Linked DNA regions of Callithrix jacchus. The protein of the gene in region 3 purifies or fractionates together with the protein of the main gene of each other region. This does not show direct contact. Links are inferred from orthologs where the notes say so. Each region holds a gene or a part of one and is shown on either strand. Other genes may lie near its edges.

Region 1 (7,411 bases), about 110 Mb from region 3:
ATCCAGTAGGGGAGATAAATATCTTAGGTGACAGAATAATTTCAACAAAAATACTTTTTTTTTAACTATGGAGGATAATACCTCAAAACTTTTAATAAAAAAAGCATTTAATGCTTTATTAAGTCTATTTCTACATTTATTGAGGACTCATCTAAAGGGTCTCGTGTGTTATGAGGAGAGGGTCAGAAATAAAAAAAAAATTATGAAAGATGAAATAAAAAACAAAGAAAGGTTGCAGAACACAGGGTGGAAGGAAAGGAGGTGGGTGGGGTGAGGACTAGTAAAGTGAGAAAAATTAGGCGGCTTTTTCCTTAGAACGGCAGACAAAATTTAATTTCATAAACTAAAAATAAAATGAGAGATGAAGGGCTGAACTTCCACCCAAGGAAGTTGTTTCTTAGGCATCTGATTTCTGGACATTAAACATACTCGGTTGACTAGTACAAATGCCGAATATATGCAAATAACTGTCTACTGCTGTGGAGATGGAGATATCAACAACTTCTTGCCCAAAGACCCCGTTAGTACAGTAGATAACTACTCCAAAAACATAATCCAAAGCAGAATATGTTATAAAAGTAGAGCCACAGAAGAGACCTCATCCAGTGAGAGAGGAGGTGGAAGGGAGACAGGGCTGGGGAATCAAGAAATGGAGCCCAGGTCTGACATGGGCTTGAAGGGTAATACTCAGTCAGCAAACATTTGCTGGAAATCTCCTCTAGGCTGAGCACTGGGGATAGAGAAGGAGCAAGCTGAACTGGGACTGACATGCTAACAATGAGGCTGTGCACACCCTCCACATTTTCATATGAAACAAATCTACAAATAAGTCTGATAGATAAAATACACCATGGAAAAATATTCTAAAATATGATTAGTCTGTTATTAGTGAGCAAATTATTTCCTGTTTTAAAAAGCACCTGTACTCACAAGGGAAGTAGACAAACACCCTTTTTGTACATACATACAGTACACAAAGCACTAAGACAGGGTTAGCAATGCACATCTAGTATTTATGTGAAGACAGTGGAGCAGCACCACGTGGGGACAGGGCTAGGCAGAAGAGCATCAAAGAAGACATCCAGAGAGAAGGGGCAGGAAGGCATGAGGCAATGAGAGTGAGACAGGAGGAAGAGTAAAACCCTGGAGTGGGGGCGGGAGTCCCAAAGACCTGCTGTGCCAGATTCCACCAGGAGTGAGTTCCCAGTGAAGGCAGACCACCAGGGCTGTGAGGAAAGTCAATAAGCATCTCTCTGCAATTTTCTGCAAGAATTCTGACAGTAGGGATTCAGACAGCTGGCAAGAGGATTTTACAGTACTTGTAAGTACATGCTTTAAATAACTGACTGTGGAGTTCAAGTTGGGAGAAGGAAGTGAGGTCAAAGAAAAGGTTAAAAAGGGAAAGGGTCAAGAGACCTGAGTGAGGATTTAAGGGTGGGAAAAGAATTGGATTACTTTTAAAAGGAGAGTGGGGAGGGAAACCCTGTTGCCATCTGAGTTAGGATTCTCAACTCAGTATCTCGTGAATAGTGATTCTAAACTTCTAGCATAATTAAGTAGGGTAGGACTATCACTAAATTTAAAGAGATTAAGAATAGTCTAGTTAGGGTGTGAGAAAGTAACTATGAAGTTAGGATGCGAGAAGGTAATATTATATTTTTGTTACTAAAACAACAGCAGCAGTTAAGTGATTTACATCTCCCTTTGAATCCGAACAAAGCAATGAGGTAGTTAGTACTATTGACACTTTCTAGAAGAGAAAACTGAAGCTTTTTCAGGAAGCTAGGCATGATGTCACATGGCCCACAACTGGCAGAAATGGTACTGATACCCAGGTTTCTCTCACTCTGAAAACCTGATCTGAATCATCACACCAAAGTTCTCTAAGTAATCTGACACTACTTCACTCCTTTAAGATGTGATCACTCTTAATTTAGAAGTAGAAGAAAGACACTTGCTGACGATGAAAGACTGGAGCCAAGATTGACCCAGGCAATAGAGGTGGAAGATGATTACTACAGAGCATTTGCTCCCTCCGGATTGTCCTTAAAAATTCTCATCTGAGAGGTGGGAGGAGGGCTGAAGATGGGAGAGCTGGACGTCTTTTTAAAGCATGTTGTTAGGACACGTTTCCCAAAACCAGCATTGATGAGTGCCTGTTTTAAAATTATTTTTAAAAATTCTAAGCAATCAATGAAGACAGTAGTTTACAAATACAAGTTTTGATTATGTGATACTCTTGCAATATGAAAATGTTTTGAGGTATTTAATAAGGTCAGTTATATGTATGTACATTATACAAAGATGTGTATACCATGTTGGAAAAGAAGATGAAAAGGAGACACAACACTAAACTGGCTAATAGGAAATGACAACTACACACATGGGTAAAATCAGAAAATGAATCTTTGAAGATTATTTCCAACGTCATTTTAAACCTTTATGACCATTAATATGAACATATGCAATTAAACTCAGAAGTGACTTATTTTAACAACCCTCTACACACACATGCTAAAAAGGGAAAAGAAAAACAAAGAGACCTCAAAGTTCTAGGAAATAAGATGTAGTAGTTGTAGAGTAACAAATGATAAAAATAAAAATAATATATTTAACATATAAAAACTTTAAGGAGTGATAAAATGTAAAGCTAAAAATCCATTTTGAAACAAAATTGTCTTGAGGAGGATATAGAATTTCTAAAAGTTCTATATTTGAATCATTCATGAATATCTTGAATGTACACTGCTCTTCCAACCTAGAAATTCCACTACTATGTACCCGGAGTTGTAATTACCTTCCACAGTGAACCACAACAGCAACAAGGTCGTACATTCTGTCTGGATTGGTGGCATCACCTGAAGTGTTAAATAGACGAAGTTCTAAAGGAAAAACTACCCGGTAAGAGAGTTTTGTATATCGATGAAGTTGATCCATATATTTAAATCTCTTCAGGTGCAGAGCTAGAATCATGGGCAGTTTTTTAACTTTCATCCTATTAAAAATAAAAATGAAAACAAAATTTCATAAAAGATATCCACCATGTCCTTGAATTATCAAACTTTATGATATCCAATGAACAGACAGCCAAGGGTTGGTTTTAATAGCCCAGCACTGCCCAGTTTTGCATATTTCTACCAATTATTTTTATATGGACAAAACAATATTCTGAACACCCTAAGACGACCCCACCCTACCCATCATTACCACACCACATCATTTGACACAGCACTCAATACAGCTCCAAGACAGATGGAATGGCATTAGTCCTTGGTTAAGGAATATTTATATTTCAAACACACATCTCTTATAATAAGGCTGAATGCACAGGGTGCTCAAGAGTGGTAGAGGAAAAACAAGTTTCTTGAAACTGACAATTCCTTTGGACTTGAGTGGACTGAAATCCATTTTTTTCTATCAGTCTATGTGATGCAGATACAGACTAACAATAGGAGACTAAAATAATAAAAGCACTAAAGACCATTCAATGTGCTTGTCAGAGATAAGAAATAATTCCATATTAAGAACAATGGCTATGTACAGCCTAGAAAGGGAATAAAATAACCTGGAAACTCAGGAGTTAAGATTTTAATTGTGAAACACAGGCTGTTCTTAATGTTCAAAATAGTCTTTATGATGCCTTTAAATGCTATTTCTCCCTGAGAGTGCCTTTGTACTCCTACTTCACCTAAAAATCTATTCTTCTTTTAATGGCTCAGCTCAAATGTCACACCCTCTGGCACAAATACCTGCTCTCTTCAATCCTCCATCAGCACTTTTCAGGTTCACTTTATATATGTCAAGCTTATTACATGGTAAAAGTTTTAGGTGGTTACGGTTCTTTTCTTCTAGGCCCTGGACCTTTGGCAGCTTAGAAAGCATTCCCTTCATTTTTATTTCTCCACTATCTAGCAACATGCCTGGCATATGATAGATGCCAAATGTTGCAGAACTGGATTTTAAATGGATTTAGTGAAGCAAAATATTCCTCACAATTTAAAGAAATGATAAATGGTAAGCCACTGCCTCTAGTAAGTAAAAAAAAAATCATTTTATAACATTACACTAAATCTGCATTCTACACATCTTAGATATGGTAGATAGCTTATTATTCCTAAATTACTTACTATTCAGCTAACTTGGCCTTTTGGAAACATTAGCCAAAGTAAAGGTAAACAACCCAGCAATATGAATTAAGAGCTTTTATGGCCTTTGGTTCAGTAATCCTATTTCTAAAAACATAAATTAAAATATATAACCTCAAAACATCACTTATGAGAATAATCTATTTGTAGAGTTCTTTTACATTGTGAAAAATCCCAGCTATTCAACAACAGGTAATGTTAAAATAAATTAGAATGCAAACATAACAGAGTGTTATACAACTTAAATAAAACAATGCGGATGAAAGTTTCTAGGTGACAATGGAAAATACAAGTTAAAAAGTATATAAAATTATACATAAAATAATTCAACTATGAAACATAAAAATCTTTGATTAAACCCACGTAGAGTTACTGAAACAAAATCTTTACAAAACAGCAGGGTATCCTTTGCGAATTTCCAATGAATGGCAGATGCAAAAGAAGAATTTTCTCAGCATAAAATGAGTGTCAGTGTACTATTAATAGATGGCAGTCAGGTAAGATTAGGAAGAAGAAAGATAATGAACATGGCCTGATGGTTAGGGAAAATGTGCTTTTAGAAATTAAAGAGGGGAAGTCCAAATGCAGAAAAAAGAAAATATCTCAATAATAGCAGATACAATATGTTTGATCAGACAACACATGAAGAAGATGAATCCTATTGGCCAAAGATCCTCCCAGAGAACTGCTGGCTACCACAAAGAAACCAACTGCCCATGGAACTGTCATGCAAAAATATGTGTGGAGCCATATTTTAAAGATGCTGCTAGCTTACAAAATTTCCCTCATATTGAAATGGTTCCAGAAGAAAAAGCAGAAAACTGCTTGAACATACGTGTAAGGAGTGTGAAACTCATTATGTAGATTTTGCAGCAGAAGGAAGAAAAAAAGGTTGATTTCCTGCTCGAAACACCAAGACCACCAAAACACCAAAGAATTTATAGGATTCTGGCTTTCCTTCTATTCAAACTTGTGGGGAGGGAGGTTATGTTAGGGAGCTCTTGATCACTGTCATTGTTTTAAAAAACAGTTGTCTTAGAACATGTTATCTACAAAAGACAAAATTTTGAAGAAAAAAACAGAAGGACAGAGAACATATTTTTCCTTTTTAAAGTCTGAATAGACAATGATTTTTAAAATTCTGTAAATGGATAAAATTAATTTTCTATTAAAATTTATTTTTTAATGACATTTACCGATCACATAAACAACTACTTAAAATGTGGATGAATTTCTGTTATTCAGTTGGCCCGCCACATCTGGGAGTTCCAGATCCACAGATTCAACCAACCATGAATTGAAAATATTCAATCAATCAATCAATCAATCAATAGAATGACAAGAAAAATAATACCATTTTAAAAAATACAGTGTAACAACTATATATAGCATTTACATTGTATTATGTATCAAAGCACACAGGAGGATGTGCATAGGTTATATGCAAATGCTATGCCATTTTATATCAGGGACTTGAGCATCCAGGCATTTTGCTGTATGTGAGGACCCTGGAATCAATTGATACTGAGGCACAACTGTAGGCATTTTCTTCCTTTTACGTCTTTAAAATGACAAATTGCATCCATTCTGTATTCTAACATAATAAGGGTTGCCTTTCTTGATAATGTCTAATTATAATTTAAAACTATTCAGAAAAGAAAGCAGAAGGATGGGAAAAGATACACCATGTAAACACCAATCCTAAGTAAGCAGGCTATCCTAATGTCAGACAAAGCAGACAAGATAAAGAATATTACCAGAGATAAAGAATACTTCATAATAACGAAGGTCAATTCACTAAGAGGACATAACAATCTTAAAAGCATGTGCTCCAAAATGGGAAAGAATTATAGAAGTAAACAGATAAGTGTATAATCAGAATTGCAATGTTTACAGACTTCTCTCACTAATAGCAAAAAAAAAAAAAAAAATCAGTACGGATATAGGAAAATATGAACAACCTAACTATGGATTTAATTGACATTTATGGAATACTCTATCCCAGACTGCACTATACGCATTCTTCTCAAGTTCAATCAAAACATTCACTAATGTATTGAACAATAAAAGAAGTCTCAATAAATTTAAAAAGATGAAATTGGAGTACGTCCTCTGATAAAAAAAAAAAAAAAATCTAGAAAATCCCCCCAGATATGGAAACTAAGCAACATATTTCTAAATAACCCATAGGACAAACAGAACATCACAAAAGACCCTAAGAGCAAACTCTGAGATAAAAAGTCCCAGTCCCAGGCCTGTGATTTATTAATGTAGTGGGTGGATGGACGGGTGTGTGTGTGTGTGTGTGTGTGGAAGGGGGAGGAGGGGGAGGGGTAGCAGGGAAGGGAAGGAAAACAGGTAAGGATTCAATCTCAAGCAAAATCTCAGAAAGGGTGGCTTCAGCCCAGTGTCACAGAGAAACTCCAGAAGCTAAATTTCACCTCAGATATATCTTGACCACAAGGTAGCTGCGCTTTCATATGCTCTTCAGCACCTGTCAGTGGCTGGTCAAAGACTGGGAATTTGAACCAAATTGCCAGAAACTCCCTTCTCCAGTAGCCCACGGGGGAGTCCTTCCCAAAGCCAGCAGGTGCTAAGTATTAGAAAACAATCCAAAGGACTAGGAAGAAGCTGGACAAAGGACCAACATCGCCTGCAACCACCCCCAACCAGAATAGCAATTACCCTGCCGCAGGCAAGCAACACGATTACTGGATGGAATGCAGACCCTGAAATCCAGTGGAGTCTCATCTCTGAATTGTTTTTCTCAATAGTCAGAAACAATTTTTAAAGTAAATTTCCCATTTTTATAAACTGTGTGAGCCAAACAGAGAGTTCTACAGATGGAATTTGATCCAGAAGACACTATTTGCAAGCTCTACCGCAGATGAATGTAATATCCAGCCACAGGCACTTATGAACTTGCCAACATCCTGTCAGCAGAGAAGTCCTGACCACACAGAAAAGCTTAATAATTATAAAGACGCACAGTTCTAAGGTCTGAATTCCATGCTCTTTTAAAGTGTACCATTAACAAGGATTAATTGTGGCACATTACAACGAGGGGGTCAGGGGAAATAGAATGCTTTACGTGAGAAAGACACTAAGGTAACTCAGTAAGATATAAGCAATGAGAGGACATTTAGGTGGCAGAACCTATCCCCAGCATGTGTTAAAATGAGGGATGGGTCACAGGCACAAATGAGGCCCATGGCGTACCCTAACATGTGTATAGAATACAGTATTGAGTGACAGACATCTGGAGA
Region 2 (8,103 bases), on a different chromosome or scaffold from region 3:
CACGCTGGTCTCAAATTCCTGCACTCAAGTGATTCTCCCACCCCAGCCTCCCAAAGTGCTGGGATTACAGGCATGAGCCATTGCACCCGACCACAACCTCTTTTTCAAAAAGGAGAACAAAGTATGTAAAAAGATGTTTGAAAGCTGGTAGTTGAAAGTCTTTTGGGGAGAGGGACAGGGTCTTATTTGGGTCTGAATACCTCACATCATCTTGCCTAGTATTATTACTATCACAGTAGTCACTCAAATCTGGTGAGATGATTAGTGTCAGCATTAAATCAATGTTAATACTGTCTTTAGTTCAATAAATTTGCAAAACTATATCTCCTCATACAAGAAACCCCATTCCAAACCTCCTCGATTGTGAAAAGATGTTTTAATTTACCTCAAGCATTCAACAAAATAATATACGGTAAAATGCTGGGGTAGATTCTGAAGTGCTTGGAGTATATGATATAAAAAGCTCAGCCTCTTCTAAGATAGTTGTTTAGACTAAGTTAGGCTTCACTTTCCTTACTATGAGAAAAATTCTAACACAGGTTTGCATCCCTCTCTGGCCTTGGTTTCTGAGTAGGGTGAAATAACAAACTCTAGAGTTCCTCGTAGCTGCAGACACTGATCTGTAAACCTTCTTAAAAGGGTCAAGATGGCACTCCTCAGCGTGAATGCTGGACTACTTCCTCACCCACTCCATTTCCCCAGGGCCCCATGCTTCCTCTCAAGAATGGCAGCACGTAATTCATGATTTAAGTTCTTGAAAAGACCTACTTTCTACTCATTTTACATACAGACTTAAGTTGAATTTATTCATTGAAATTAGATCTTCTGAATAATCCAAATAATTATTGTAAAACTGTACATGCCTCAAAGGAAAAAAAAAAAAACAGTCAAAACAGCCAACTGTGGGCTGGGCGTGGTAAGTCACATACATAATCTCAGCAGCACTTTAGCAGGCTGAGGCGGGAAGACTGCTTGAGGCCAGGAAGACCAGCCTGGGCAACACAGCAAGACCTCCATCTCTTAAAAACAAAATTTTTTTTAAAAAATTAGCCAGGTGTGGTGGTGCACGCCTGAGTTCCAGGCACTAGGGAGGCTGAAGTGGGAGGATCATTTGAGCCCAGGAGTTTGAGGCTATAGTGAACTATGAGCATGCTGCCACACTCCAGCCCAGGCAACAGAATAAGATCCTGTCTCTAAAAACAAAATTAAACACATGTTTAATGGCCAGCTGTCAAAAATAAACTTATAACTACTAACTCTAAAAGGTAAATTTTGGTTTTCCAATTAAGGAAAATTTCCTATATTTTAAATCAAAAAATAGTCACAAAAAGTCACTTAGAAATAACACTAAATAAATGCAAACTCATTCATGGAAAAAAGATTTTAAGTTACAATTAAAAGAGTTGAAACATCTGCAACATAATGCAAATGTATCTACAAGCTACTACCACATGAAAATGAAATCCTACCCCCCAAAACACGTTAAAACACTCGAATTGTGCAGGTAAGGGCAATTTACGTATTTCAGATTTATCTTATTTAAAATAATTTTTTGATATAGCTTTAAAAACCTTGCCTACTTCTATCCTTCCGTGAATAGCGTTCCACTAAAAGAGAACACTATTACAATGATACTCCCAGGCAAGAAACCTGTCTTTATGAGGTAAACCAGGGCTACCAGATCCAGATAAGGTTTGCCACTAGGATGCTTCTAAGGTAATAACCTTTGAAAGAAAAAAAAAAAACTTGTTGAGGGTGGGATGGAGTCTAGCTCTGTCACCCAGGCTGCAGTGAAGTGGCACAATCTCAGCTCACGACAACCTCCGCCTCCCGGGTTCAAGAGGTATCTCCTGCCTCAGCCTCCTGAGTAGCTGGGATTACAGGCACACGCCATCATGCCTGGCTAAGTTTTGCATTTTCAGTAGAGACGGGGTTTCACCATGTTGGCCAGGCTGGTCTTGAACTCCTGACCTCAGATGATCCATCTGCCTTGACCTCCCAAAGTGCTGGGATTACAGGCGTGAACCACCGCACCCAGCCAGAAAACTTTTTTTTAAAGTAATGCCTGCATTAATAATTGCTAGTTAATTTAGTTTTTAGGCACACTGTATTTTTAAAACTTAAAATTCTAACTTAATTTCCAGAGACAAAATTGATCCTTTCACTCTGAATATCAACGTCAAGATGGCAGCTTCTTATTTGACAGTTACTCTTAGTATTTAACTATATTTTACATATACTGAGTGTTCATTACAGTTACTATATTATTATTATTTTTTGAGACAGAGTTTCACTCTTGTTGCCCAGGATAGAGCGCAATGGTGCAATCTCAGCTCACTGCAACCTCTGCCTTCCGAGTTCTAGTGATTCTCCTGCCTCAGCCTCCCAAGCAGCTAGGATTACAGGCATGCACCACCACGCCCGGCTAATTTTGTATTTTTAGTAGAGATGGGGTTTTTCCACGTTGGTCAGGCTGGTCTCGAACTCCCGACATCAGATGATCCCTCTGCCTTGGCCTCCCAAAGTGCTGGGATTACAGGCATGAGCCACACCCGGCCAGAGTTATTATATTATTAATTACAACATATGCACTGTAACATTCCCTTTTCAAAGAGGTGAAAATATAAGTTAAATAAGTTATCCAAGGTCACCCAACAAGTGACAATGTTGGGAGTAGGAGTAAAACTTCAGCTCGTAGACTGAAGGCAACTTCAAGCTTTTGCAATACCAAAAGAGAAAAAAAAAAAAAAAAAAGGTCAAGCGATTTACCTTCAATAACTTCCAACAGCATACCCTAAACACTTAAAAGATTCACCCTGAAAGAAACAACTTGCTACATTTAGATACCACTGTCATTTCCCCAGCTCTTTTAACAAGCAAAAATCCTGTACTGGATCTGGCTATATTAAATTCTAGGGAATGTTCACTCTTCGCTATGTACAATTTATTTTCATGCTAACATACATTTACGAATTAATCTTTTATCACCTTGTCCCATTTGGAGGTGGTGTGGGATGCATTAATTTCCTCACTCTTCCATGAAATCAAGTCAAAGACTACAATCTCAAAAATAGCAATTCTCAGTGAAAACATAGTTACATAGTCAACGAAAGAAAAGCTCTAATAAATTGCTGCTTTTAAAGAGATACTTTTAAAGGATGCTTACAGGCTTCACAGAATTACTGGTACCTCACCCGCCAAGAAGGATGGCCCCTTTAAAGTAGCTTTTAAGGCATATTCCTCCCTACTTGGGACACAGTCTGACTTGTTGGACAAGATTAATCTGGGCACTCACACACCACCCCTCTGAACCTGGACACATTATTGCAACAACTGTGGTACTCAGCCCTTCTCATACTACAGGGACAGACAAGATGACCCTTCTTAACAATCTTTGAGAAGGTCCCCTCGGAGGAGACAGTGACAGCCGTCCTCCCGCGGATGTTTTCGGAAATAGAAGTGTTAATACCAAAAGAAGCTCCTAGGAAGTGTCAGTGCGGCAGCAGGTGGAGTAGCCCTGCGTGCCGAGCAGGTTCTTTCTGACCTAGTCTCGGTCCTCCGCTCCCCGGCCCGGGTTCCGCCTTGCGGAGATCCTGCTAAGCCGTCTTGCGCCCCTGTTCTCTAACCCAGGGAAAGACTTCCAACCCTCCAGGGAGGCGAGACAATCGAAGCAGACAAGACGGCCACCCCACCTCTTCCGGGGACTCGCAGGCCCGCTCCCTGGCCATGTCAGAGCCTGACGGACCAGGCTGGAGGGGACGCAGCCGGCTCCTCCGGGAGACTCCCAGGCGGAACCCCGCGCCCCACGGTCCCTTTCCACAGCCCCCACTCCTTCGAAACGCCACCGCCACCACCCTCCTCACTCCTGAATCCCCTCTCCTCAGGAGCACCCCAGTGGAGTTACCGGCCCACTCAAAAGTAAGAGCGACGGCCACCCATCTCGGTCACCCTGGCCCCGCTGTCACCGCCCTGCTCCCGGCCTCTGCCCACGCCGCTGGCGGGCCCCGGTGACGCCCGGGTCGGTACCTTGCGGACCCCCTTGTAGATATAGAAGTAGAGCTCCCGGCCCACATTGAAGCAGAGGCGGTCGCCGTTGCCAGACTGGTCGTTGAGGTTTACGAAGGAGACGCGGACAGGGTTGGATCCCTGCGAGTTGAAGGGCACCCGGTTGGGCCGGCTGTACTCCGAGTGCGGCAGCAGCTTGTAGAGACCTTCCCGGGTAGTGAATTGGGTCTTAATCTCGTTCATCTCCTTCCCTCCTCCCTCCGTCGCCATCTTGGAAAGCAGCGTTCATCCTGCCCTAAGTGCCCGGATCACGCCCACCGCGCAGGCGCCGTTCCTGCTGCTCGCTCTTCCCCCACCCCGCCTCTTCCTTCTCGCCCCTCCCACCCGCGGGCCAGCCCCACGAAGGCGGGCCGAAGAGAAGGGGCGGGCTTGTTTACGGCCCGACTGCGCAGGCGTGCTCACCTGGCGCGCTCCACGCGGCGGGGCGTCCGCAAGCTCCTCCCTTGGGCGTGGCTTCCGGGCTGCTGGGCTGCTTCCCAGGTGAAGCCGGCTCCCGCTTGGGGGCTCAGGTTGCTCATTCCGCATCCGCCCGGGCAGACGGAAAGCCGGACCGGGGAAGCCGCGGCGGGCCTTGCGTCCGGAGCTTGAGGCGAACTTGAGGGCGCCTCCTCAGCTGTCTCCCGCCCTGCCCTGAGGGGTACCGGGACCCCGAAGAGAAGAGCGCCACCCCGACTGCCACTGCTTCGGGGCCAGCACGCGGGGTCCCCTGCCGGGAGCTGGGACGGCTCCAGCCCTCCTGCGCCCTCCCTTCGGGACGGGGACTGTCCCGCCTAGAGGGCTCGAGGACTCGCGCGACCGTCTGGATCCCCTGTCCGGAAGCCCCTGTGAAGCCTCCTCCCCGCCGTTTCTGAGAAGGTACCGAAGGACTCAAGATTTACGCTTCACTGTGTGTGTGTTTTTTAGGCGGGGTGGGGAGAGAGAAGAACGTGGCAGCGCACGGGTATTCTCAAGCCAGATGTCCTTTTCCTGCGTGGTGAGCACTGGCGGCCTCCGCTTCTTAGCGAAGGTTTGTCCTCACCGGCTGTTCCTAGACGGGGGGCGGGGCGGGAAGCGCTTTGGGAACTGCGGACTGCGTCTGTGCAGGATTCACGTCTGCTGCTCAGTGGTTTATGAACAGCTCTTAATAACATTTAAGGTAATTGATTCTTTTTCAGAAGCCTCAAGCGGAGTCTGTAAGACTGTTTACTAGGAGATCCGTAGGGATAGTGGTATGCATGTAATGCACGGGGTCTAGATTTGTAAGGACGGGCACGCGTGCCAACGCAAGATGAAACAGTCACTATTTTATACCTGGGTTTCTTGGCGTGTTGCACCAGAATAAGAAAGTTTCTAAAGTGACAAACATTCTGATAGGATTCCAGGGTGGGGGGGGGGGGGGAACCAACATTTGTAACACTGAAATTGAACTATTCCTGAAGGTTCAGATTAGATCTGGAGGGTCACAAAGGAAGCGAACGGGAGCAATTTCCAAAGTAGGAGAAGTCTAAATCATAAACATTTTCTGTACCACAAAGCAAGTAGACACCAATAGAAACTGTGCCAATGGTGTAATAATACATTTGATAACATCTTTCTCCTTTGTAGTGTTGGCAAAAAAAAAAAAAAGCACTGAAGTCCTATTTAATTAATATAACCTTAAAAATACTTAAATTTTTTTGTTACAATTCTTTCGGTGTTATCTGACTTTCCCTAAAAGTCAAATAGAGATCAAAAATCTTAAAACACTAGGGTATGGGCCAGGTGCGGTGGCTCACGCCTTTAATCCCAGAACTTTGGGAGGTGGGTGGATCACGAGGTCAGGAGATCGAGACCATCCTGGCTAACACGGTGAAACCCCGTCTCTACTAAAAATACAAAAAATCAGCCAGGTGTAGGGGACCGGCACGTTTGCCGGGGGTTTTCCGACCAGCGGAGAGTCTCAGCTCTACTCAAGTGTTTTCAGCTTGGAAGAGGCGCGTGGAGGCACACGCCTGTCGTCCCAGCTACTCCGGAAGGCCGAGGCAGCAGAATCAGCAGAATCGTTTGAACCCGGAAGGCGGAGGTTGCAGTGAGCCGGGATTGTGCCACTGCACTCCACTGAGACTCATCTCCAAAAAAAAAAAAAAAAAAAAACCACCAGTGTATGTTCTGTGGTTGCCATGGCTATATCCCAAACTCCATAACTGTGATACTTTACATTGAAAACATGTATCTGACAGTAATCACTTGAGGGATGGTGACAGCTTGAATAATCTAAAAGCAATTTATCTGTGTTACCTAGTTATCAAGAGGAAAAAACGTATTTATACTTTTTGGGGAAAAAAAACCAGCAAGCAAAAGTTAAAAAAAAAATTTGGGCCGGGCACGGTGGCTCACGCCTCTGTAATCCCAGCACTTTGGGAGGCTGAGGTGGATGGATCACCTGAGGTCAGGAGTTTGAGACCAGCCTGGCCAACATGGAGAAACCCCGTCTCTATTTAAAAAAAAAAAATTTGTATTATTCCTCAATTAACCACAACATTCTATTTCCCATAATACCTATATAATTCAAGCATTCTATCAAGATTTTACCCTATATAAATTCAACATTTTATTATTATCACAGTAATAGACTATTCAATTCGTCTCATGCATAGCCTTTGAATAATCTCTATTTTTATTATTTTTCTCTCATACCTTTTCTTTCTCCCTATACTCAAAGATCCAATAAGTAACATCCAGATCTACATAACTGGGCCTGAGTGGCCAGGTGTGGTGGCTTACGCCTGTAATCCCAACACCTTGGGAGGCCAAAGCAGGCAGATCGTGAGGTCAGGAGTTTGAGACCAGCCTGGCCAACATGATGAAACCCTGTCTTTACTAAAAATACAAAAATTAGCTGGGCACGTTGGCACACGCCATAATCCCAGCTACTCGGAAGGCTGAGGCAGGAGAATCGCTTGAACCTGGGAGGTGGATGTTGCAGTAAGCCGAGATCTCAACACTCCACTGGGCCTGACCTAAACTTTATTTCTGACTTTCAATTTCAAACCGGGTTGGTTTTTTTTTTTTTTTAGACGAAGTCTCTGTTGCCCAGGCTGGAGTAAAGTGATGTAGTCTCAGCTCTCTGCCTCCCATGTTCAAGAGATTCTCCCGCCTCAGCCTCCCCAGTAGCTGGGATTGCAGGCACCCACCACCACACCCAGCTAATTTTTGTATTTTTAGTAGAGATGGGGTTTCATTCATCACACTGGCCAGGCTGGTCTCAAACTCCTGACCTCAGGTGATCCACCCACCTCAGTTTCCCAAAGTGCTAGGATTACAGGCGTGAGCCAGCATGCTCTGCTTCAAACTGGGTATTTCTAAATAAATTCATCATTCTAAACCTTACTAATTCTTTTTTCATTTCAAACTTGAATCATTATAATGATTTTGTGAATCATTTCCTTCTAAACAACTACCAAAATAATTTTCTAAAGACGGTGCTTTAGACATTACATATTCTTTTGCCCAAAAACTTTCAATTATTTGAAATATCCACACAATTTAAGTCATACACCAGCACTTCTCAGCCTGTTTCTTACCTAGTGCATAAATCCTCCATTCTAGTCAAATGGTTCTGCTGTCATCTCTTTTTATTTTTTGAGGCAGAGCAAGGCTCTGCCACCCAGGCTGGAGTGTAGTGGCTTGATCTTGGCTCACTACAACCTCCACCTCCCAGGTTCAAGCAAATCTCCCAAGTAGAAGGGACTATAGACATGCATCACTGTGCCCAGCTAATTTTTGTATTTTTTGTAGAGATGGGATTTTGCCATGTTGCCCAGGCAGATCTCAAACTCCTGGGCTCAAGCAATCCACTCACCTCTGCCTCCCAAAATTCAAGGTGTGAGGCACCATGCCCAACCTGCTGTTATCTTAGCTATGTCCCTTACTTGAGATGACCTTCCCCCCACTGCCCACCTTTCTCCTTTATAGCTTGTTATTTAAGAACTAGTTTGAATTCCATCCTCAACAAGCCCTGAGTGATAAAACCGTATCTGAAACCAAGGATTCTCAACTCAGGACCCATAACTGGCTTCA
Region 3 (8,171 bases):
TTGGCACCTTTGGCTAGTGGGCAGAGTGAGCTCTGAAAGTCAGAAAAAGTCCCCAGGTAAAGATGTGCGGGGGCGGGCACTGGAGGCTGGGCAGGTGTGCAGGCGGAGGGGTCAGGCCGGAGGTGGGCAGGAAGAAACAGCGTCTGCTACAACTTTTAACTGAAGACACAAAAGCATCGGAGATGGAGCCGCCAGAGGTGGGAGGAAAATAAGAGGAACGGAGTCGTGGGGCTCATTTTCGCAGACGCTCTGGGAGATCCCTTTCGCCCTCTCCGGGCATCCTACCCCATTGTATCTGAGCACTTTATCCCGCCAGCCTGGGCAGCTGCGGCTCTGGGAAGCCCAGGAAGGGTGTTTGCTGAGCCTCCCACAGCCGGTCCAGCCTTAGCTTGGCGCGATCAAGGCACATTCGCGGTGGCGACAGAGGGGCTGGAGACCTTCCCTAGAAAATAATGAGCAGAGAAACCTTTACTGATTAGTTAAATCCCGCGTAATCCCGGCTGATGAAGACAGATTCGGAACCCTTAACGGATTTAGGGACCCAAAACGATTCCTGGGGATGGCCCGGGGCGGGGGCTGCCCCTCTGGCCATAGATTTACGGGTGATATCTGAGAGGGGGTGGGAGGGGGAAGCTAGAAGGAGCCCATTCTCCCCGCCGCCAGGGCGCGGAGGCGTCCCTTAAACGCGGCGGGTAGATTTGGCAACTGCGAGGGCGCCACAGGGACAGGTGGAGTGTGGGTTGATCAGGAGCCAGCCCTTTGTCTCTTGCAGACCTCTCCTAAACTGCAAGAAGCGCTTCTCTCTCTGGTCCTAGCCCACGCTGAGCGGATTCCCGCAACGTAGGACGCGCAAGTGGATCTCAAGAGCCCCGGCAGCCGCGGGGGGTGGAGGCGGGGACGCAGATCAAGCGCTGCGTCGGATTGGGGCATTTCTCTTCGCGGGAGGGCGAAATGAAAGCGTCCTTCTGCGCTGCGCTCCCGCCACCGCCACGCTGAGAAACACAATGTGACCCAGGACCCAACTCGTCCACTGCTGGGATCTTGCAGGCCCCTCCCTGGCATTGGGGTCCCGAGATGCGTTAGGAACGTCTCAGTCCAGGAATTTCAAGACTCCTTAGAAATTCTCCTCTTCTCCATCTCCGAGTTCCCTTAGAGCCCCAACACCGGCTCCTTTGATCGGGTCTCTTGCTGGGTTTCGCTCTCCCCACCTCTTTCTCTGTGTCGGACGTGACTGGGTTAATAAGTCTCTGTTGCTCTCACCTGCAAAATGAGTTTAAGACGATCCTTCCCGAGGGTTTGAGAATGGGGATGTTCTTGGCACTGCGCCGAGCTCACCGTGGTGGTCGAGGCTGGGTTCCTGCCGCCTGGCCTTTTGGTGTCTTTGGATCACTGGCTCTCTACTCGGGGTCTGTCACTCCAGTGATCGCGAACCTTCCAGGCAGACCTAGGGGGAGGGAGACCCGAAGCCCTGGCCCAGGTGAGGCCACTCGGTCGCGACCCTGCGCTGCAGGTGCGGCACCCGAGTCCGCCCGTGACTCAGGCTTTCCACTCGCGGGCGACCCCGGTCGGGCCACCTTAGAATCTACTGCCCTGCCTGCCTGACCTGTCGCGAGCTGCAAACTGTGTGGAATCGTAGGTATCTCCCTTAACTGCGACCCCAAATTCGGATTTGCAAACGACCACGCAGCCGCACGAAGAGCCAGAGCAATTCTTTCGGACCCAGTATGCCCAACGCCTTCTTTAAACCCAGAGATAAATCTGGGGGCATATTGGTCGGGGAGCCGAAAACAATTCTGGCATCTAAAGCGTCTCCCGCTTCCCGCCCCCGAGCTGGAGCAATTCAAAGACAATTATCGCAAAGGAAAGTTATTGTTTTGCTAATCCCGGGAACAGCTTGCAAGGAAAGATTTGGGTCTTCCTTTAGTAATGGAAAGTTAATGCGTAGCCTCCTGTAATTATCCTTATCGGAAGCCCTTTGTTTAATCTGCACGTTTAGCTGAGGCCCCACCGAATGCGCAGAGAGCGGGAGACCCACTTTTCAGGGCCGGGACTCGGGCTCCAGCCCGGCAGGAGCGCAGGCAGTCGCGCCGGGTTCCTCTGGGGCTCAGGCATTCGTTCCTCGGTCGCTGAGGGACCTCGGACTGTAGGGCCCTCAGAGAGTGGGATTTAAGAGATAGGCTTCCGGGGCTCTGGGATTGGGAAAGGTGGACTCAGGCATCTCAGCGATGAGGGTTGGTTGGTTCAAAGCGCGAACCAGGAGTGGCTAACCCATGCGCTCTGTGGTCAACTTTAACGAATACGAATATTTCAGATTATTCAAAGAATCAGGGTTTCTTTGAATAATCGGGAAACCGCACAATATTGTAAGCCTCGATGAAAAGTGCTTTCCAGTAGACAGACACTATTTTATTCCAATTTACCTCCCTCTACTCCTTCCCAATTTTGGGTTGCTGAATAAATACTGATACTTACTCCTACGGAAAAAAAAAAAAAATGGCCCTCCTTGTTTATCCGAAATTCACATTTCACTGAACCTAATATGTTTTGTTCGTTAAACCTGGTACCCTGCCCGTCTCAGCCCAGGGCAGTTCACTCCTGCCTCTGCTTCTCTCCCTTTCCCCAGCTTGTGTGAGTCAGCGACCCCCTACAGCTCAGCCCGTGGAGTGCTGGGGACGAGCCTGGGGATAGATTTGGATGGAGGAAGAATGACCGAAGATTAAATATACGATTTTCATTCCTTTCCCTTTGGGGATTTTCGGAGAAGACCGTCTTGCGGGAAGGCCTTCGTGGCACCGGCGGCAGAAGTGGAGGGCTGGTTGGGGACTTACTGGTAGTAGCCATGGGGGTGTGGTTGAGAATGGGGTGCTAGGTCTTAATGGGCAGTTGGGTAGCATCAAAGAAGCTTCAGGGCAGCTGGGAGTGGGACCTCCACCCAGAGTTTGGAAGAAAGGAGAAGACCACGGCAGGATGTAGAACTTGAGGCTTTTCCAGGGACAGGGAGACAGCGGAGTCACTGCCCCTTCCCTTTTCTCCTTTCCTCCTTCCTAGAATGGGGGGTGGGGTGGGCTGGAGAGAAGAGAGGAGAAGGAGGTGACTGAGAGGACTGCAGCTGGGAGGGCGGTAACCGAGGGGAGGAGAACTGGTGGCGTCCCCAACTCGCGGGGTCCGGAACGGCGACGCGCCCGCGCCCAGCTGATTGGAGCCCTTCAGGCCTCCCGCGCCCGACCGGCAGCCCAATCGTATAAAGCTTCCTCTAAGCTGGGCCCTCGGCAAACGGGGTCCAGAGAGTTTCGCGCCTTTTGGCTAAGGAACCATGACTGGCCGGGACGCGCTTTCCGACGGCCGCACCAGGAGCAGGGCGCTGGTGCCTGGCGGTTCTCCCCGGGGCTCGCGACCCCGGGGCTTCGCCATCACGGACCTGCTGGGCTTGGAGGCCGACCTGCCGGCGCCCGCCGGCCCGGAACAGGGATCTGGCTGCGAGGGTCCGGCGGCCGCACCGTGCCCTGGCCCAGGGCTCGACAGCTCCAGCCTGGCGCGTGGGGGCCTCCCGCTGGGGCTCGGCCTCCTCTGTGGCTTCGGCGCGCAGCCTCCCGCGGCCGCTCGAGCGCCCTGCCTGCTCCTAACTGACGTGCCGTTCCTGCCGCCCAGGGGCCCCGAGCCCGTTGCCCCGCAGGCCCCCAGTCGGCCGCCTGCGCTCGGCCGCCAGAAGCGCAGCGAGAGCGTCTCGACATCCGGTAATCAGGCCCGCGATTCCCGCTCCTGCCCCGGTCCCCTAGGCTCCGAGCCGCGCAGGGTCACACACCATCGCCCCACTACACCCCCGGCCCCAGCGGCCCAGATCTAAGGGCAGCGGGGAGCCCAGAGCGAGGCCCGGTCGGGGGAGGAGCATTCGCGGAGCTGCGCCCCCGGCCCCTTGCAGCATCCTAAATTCCTGCCTCTCATCCGGGATCCTGTTTCCTCGGCAATGCCGGACCGCCACCACCTGGTGCCAGGTGGAACCCTTTGATGAGACCCTTGGCACCAAGGGTCTTGGGGTTGATGGTCTTGGCACCCCAACAACCATCTCCAGAAGGCCTTTTTTACCCTCAGCGCCAGGCGCCAGTCTCAGCCTCTGGCAGCGGCGTGGGTCGGGAAGGCCTGGGGCCTGTGTTGTTCACCAGCAGCACCGAACCTGGTACCAGGTGGAAACGCGGGCGGAACGGATCGAATGATTGGCGGCTCCTTGAAGAGCACCGGGCCTCGAGCCCAGGAACTGTCCGTCCCTCAGGGTGCTGAAAAGAGGGTCTCGGTTACCTTGCTCCTCTGCCGGCACCGCGGGCAGGAGAAAGAAGCAACCTCGGGGATTCATTAAGCCTAGAGTTATGTAGTTAGCCTAGAGATGTGTTCTCCGCCTACCCATCTCCTCAAAGAAATCCAGGCGGGTGGCGGGGAAAGAAAAAGAAGCAATGAAATTCTGTAAAGGACAAGGGCTAAGAAACCGAGTGGGTTGGGGTGTGGGAGAGAAAAGAAAGAATTACGAAAGAAAGAGTGGACTAGCGAAGGTACGTGGTAGAACCTAGAGCTGAGCATCCAGGCAGCCAAGGAAAAAAGAGTACACTGGGTCTCCTGTTATTAGAAGGAAGCATATCAGATCAACAGGCAGGCTCCACTCTAAAAGGACTTAATTTCATGAGCCTCTACTTAAGACAAAATGAAACTTCCTATCAGTGTCACTAAAAATGCAAAAACTGTCTTCATGGGATGAGTTCATTCTTCTATGAGCACTGACAAAATGAAAGGCAGCTAAATTCTATTCTGCAGGCATTTCTGAAGATCTGGAGCAGAGCTGTCCAAGTGAAATGTGATGTGATGACATGTTTGATGGAAGTTTCTCCCAGCCACATTAAAAGTGAAATGAATCTAAATACTGCATTTTAACCCAACAATATTCATAACTGTTATCATTTTACACATAATCAACACAAAAATTTTACTTTTTAGGAGCACTAAGTCTTCTAACTCCATTGACTGATTTATGTCTACAGCAGGTCTCAGGTTGGACAGCCCAATACAGAATGTTTTAATCCAAGTCAGGTTTCTGGTGGACTAATTGATGTAGGGTGTAATTGATGTAATAAAACTATTATTATTTAGTTATTTTTGCCTTTACTCATTTAAAAAATATTTTGAGGAAATAATGCTTTCTTGCAATGAATCTCACAATAGTTTGGTCCTCTAACTTTCTTTTCCATCTAGACTTTTTGATATAATGAGTATAAAAAGGTAAAACAGAGCAGAGCGGTTCTCAAATTTTCAGGGGCAACTACAAATCATCTGAGCACACTTGTCAAGAAGGCGCCTCCTAGACCCCACCTCCAGAGAATCTGATTTGGTGCATCAGGGCAGGGATGCAGTTCTGACAAGCGTTCTGATGTCACAAGCCCTGGACTTCCTTTGGGAAATGTTGGTTTAGAGGTTAAGGTGATAAAACTATGTTTGGAAGCAGTGTGGGGACAGAAAGTCTAATCAGTGGCCGAGTAGCTCTGGCTTCAGATGATCTGGGATTTGAATCCCAACTTCACCATTTACTACCTGTGTGCTCTTGGGCAAATTACTTAACCATTCTGTGCCTCAGTCTTCTCATCTGTAAAAATAGAATGGTAATAATAGCAGCCGCTTTTGTGTTTTAGTGTTTTATTAAGAACACTTGAGATAATACATGGGCAAGGTTAAGCGCAGAGCCCGGGATCTAGTAGGTGCCAAAAATGCTCCTATTATTCACTACTCAAATACCCGAGAGGTTCATAACTTCACTCCTTACACTGAAATCTAGGAAATAAAAGGGAGAATATGATCACCTTTAAACTCCTTTTTGTGCCAGCAGATGAGGACAGCCCATGTGAAGACAGGAATGACCTAAAGGCGTCCCCCACCCTGAGCAAGAGGAAGAAGCGGAGGCACAGGTACAGGGCCAGGCAGTCCTCTCTGCCTGCTTTTCCTTGGGACACAGCCCAAGTTTTCTGGCACCTGCACCTGAGAATTTATGGCCCTGCATGATGGCAGGCCCAATGGCCTCCTGGTTGGCAGTGGGAAGAGCACAGAAGCCATTTGGGAAGACAATTTTGCAGTCCCAGGAGGCTGGGAAAATGCTACAGTCTTGGTAGTATTTTTTTCGGTAGCATTTTAAAGACACAATTTTGTGGGTCTGTTAGATAGATTTTGCCAGAATGAATGGATGGAATTCATTAAGAAAGAGCTAAAGGACTGTTTTTGTTTGAATCAAACTTCTGGACTACATCAGCTAATCATTCAGAGATGGGGTGTCCTGTTATCATGAGGTGGCTTCTGAGGTGTTGACAGTGGGGGAGGCAGGCACGGTGGTCCTTAAGGCCAGGGAGGCTGCTTTCCCCAGGGCACTCGTGCCGACGTGTGTGTTTTGGGGTCCCTGCAGGACAGTTTTCACTGCTCACCAGCTGGAAGAGCTGGAGAAGGCGTTCAGCGAGGCCCACTACCCTGATGTGTATGCCCGAGAAATGCTGGCTGTGAAAACCGAGCTCCCTGAAGACCGGATACAGGTGTCGGGGTCCCTTTTCTCCTTTTTGAAGACACATAGAGAACGTGTCATTCCCACGCTCAGTCAGCCAATCAGTGGTCCCTCTCTACAGCTTCCTTTGCACAGAAACTGAGGGTCCCTTAGCTGAAAGCACCACAAGAGCATGTCCCTGTGACCCTCATGCCCTTTTTCCTTTTATTATTATTAATATCAAATTATTCTTTAAAATCACGCAATAATGTGTGTTGCAACTAGAAACTATATAAAGATATGCCAATGGGGTGGGGGGGTGGAGACTACCTCTCCATGTTAAACCCTGAAAGAAATCAACATAAATGCCTGAGGAGACCTTTCTGCACTTTGTGGAGCACATTACCTGCCACTGCACATGTACGCGCATACACATATCTACGCGCATACACATATCTACATGCATACACATATCTACGCGCATACACATATCTACATGCATACACATATCTACGCGCATACACGTATCTACATGCATATACATATCTACGCGCATACACATATCTACGCGCATACACATATCTACATGCATACACATATCTACGCGCATACACATATCTACATGCATACACATATCTACGCGCATACACATATCTACGTGCATACACACACGCTCACATGCATAGGTGGAAGTTTGCTTTTGTCTTTGCCAGAAGATATGTCACTCCTTTTTAACAGCTACACCATATTTCATAATAGTCTTTCACTAACATAATGTTTTTCATGAGAAATATCACCAAGCAATCCAATAGCCTAAGCTTGGAAGGAGCGATTGCCCCAGTGAACGCTTCCCAATCAATGAGAAAAAGAAACCCTGTAATTGACCTCTTCACACAATGTGGGAAAAGGGAGTTTGATTCTTTAGTTTATACATCCCTGACTCTATGGAAACTTCAGTGGACGTGGTCACTCGTGTCCGTAGCGCGCTGAATGCCCGTGAGTCCGGAGTGCACGTGGGCGCCGCTGGGGGCTCCTGGGTGCGCTCCCCGGGGGCGGCTGGTTGGCTCTCAGGAGCTATTTCCTTCAGAAATAACATGGGATCGTGCTGGAGCGAGGAGCTCTGAGCCCAGGGACGCCGCCTGCGCTCCTCCAGGCGCCCCTCTTCACTGTCTCTTCTGTGTGCCCTCTGCTTTCCCTCCTGCCTCCAACCAGGTCTGGTTTCAAAACCGCAGGGCCAAATGGCGCAAGCGGGAGAAGCGCTGGGGCGGCAGCAGCGTGATGGCCGAGTACGGGCTGTACGGGGCCATGGTGCGCCACTGCATCCCGCTGCCCGACTCCGTGCTCAACTCCGCCGAGGGCGGCCTGCTCGGCTCCTGCGCGCCCTGGCTCTTGGGTAAGAAAGGGCCCCCCGGGAGCCTGTGGTTCCGGGTGTTGGGGGAGGTAGGGGGATCCCCGGGGGTTCCCACCGAGGCAGCCGTTTCCAAAGCAAGGCAACGTCAATTTACTGAGATTCAGGCCCAGAACCTTACTTTTTATTTTTATTTAATAACAAAGCTTGCAGCAACTGGACGGTTGCCTCATTTTTCACAGAGACTGTCTAGGCTCTGTGAAAAAGTATGCTAAATATGTATTTGGGATTTAAGGGTAAAATGACATCATTGCATTATGT

Evidence for each region.
Region 1: the proteins of VSX1 (region 3) and USP12 purify together in Homo sapiens (affinity purification with mass spectrometry; 3 studies listed by BioGRID and IntAct, counting the BioPlex papers as one, with this or other methods). This does not show direct contact. The link is inferred for Callithrix jacchus from reciprocal best matches to the Homo sapiens genes VSX1 and USP12.
Region 2: the proteins of VSX1 (region 3) and WDR20 purify together in Homo sapiens (affinity purification with mass spectrometry; 3 studies listed by BioGRID and IntAct, with this or other methods). This does not show direct contact. The link is inferred for Callithrix jacchus from reciprocal best matches to the Homo sapiens genes VSX1 and WDR20.

Annotation. Positions count from the first base shown.
Region 1 is NC_133506.1:146,237,808-146,245,218, forward strand, and holds part of USP12 (ubiquitin carboxyl-terminal hydrolase 12), read right to left. Parts: intron 2,996-7,411; coding exon 2,798-2,995; intron 1-2,797. UniProt on the Homo sapiens protein: Deubiquitinating enzyme that plays various roles in the regulation of the immune response and inflammation.
Region 2 is NC_133509.1:137,063,857-137,071,959, reverse strand, and holds the start of WDR20 (WD repeat-containing protein 20), read right to left. Parts: upstream 4,303-8,103; 5' UTR 4,276-4,302; coding exon 4,027-4,275; intron 1-4,026. UniProt on the Homo sapiens protein: Regulator of deubiquitinating complexes. Activates deubiquitinating activity of complexes containing USP12. Anchors at the base of the ubiquitin-contacting loop of USP12 and remotely modulates the catalytic center of the enzyme.
Region 3 is NC_133506.1:31,797,835-31,806,005, reverse strand, and holds the start of VSX1 (visual system homeobox 1), read left to right. Parts: upstream 1-3,271; 5' UTR 3,272-3,313; coding exon 3,314-3,734; intron 3,735-5,863; coding exon 5,864-5,942; intron 5,943-6,430; coding exon 6,431-6,554; intron 6,555-7,714; coding exon 7,715-7,895; intron 7,896-8,171. UniProt on the Homo sapiens protein: Binds to the 37-bp core of the locus control region (LCR) of the red/green visual pigment gene cluster. May regulate the activity of the LCR and the cone opsin genes at earlier stages of development. Dispensable in early retinal development.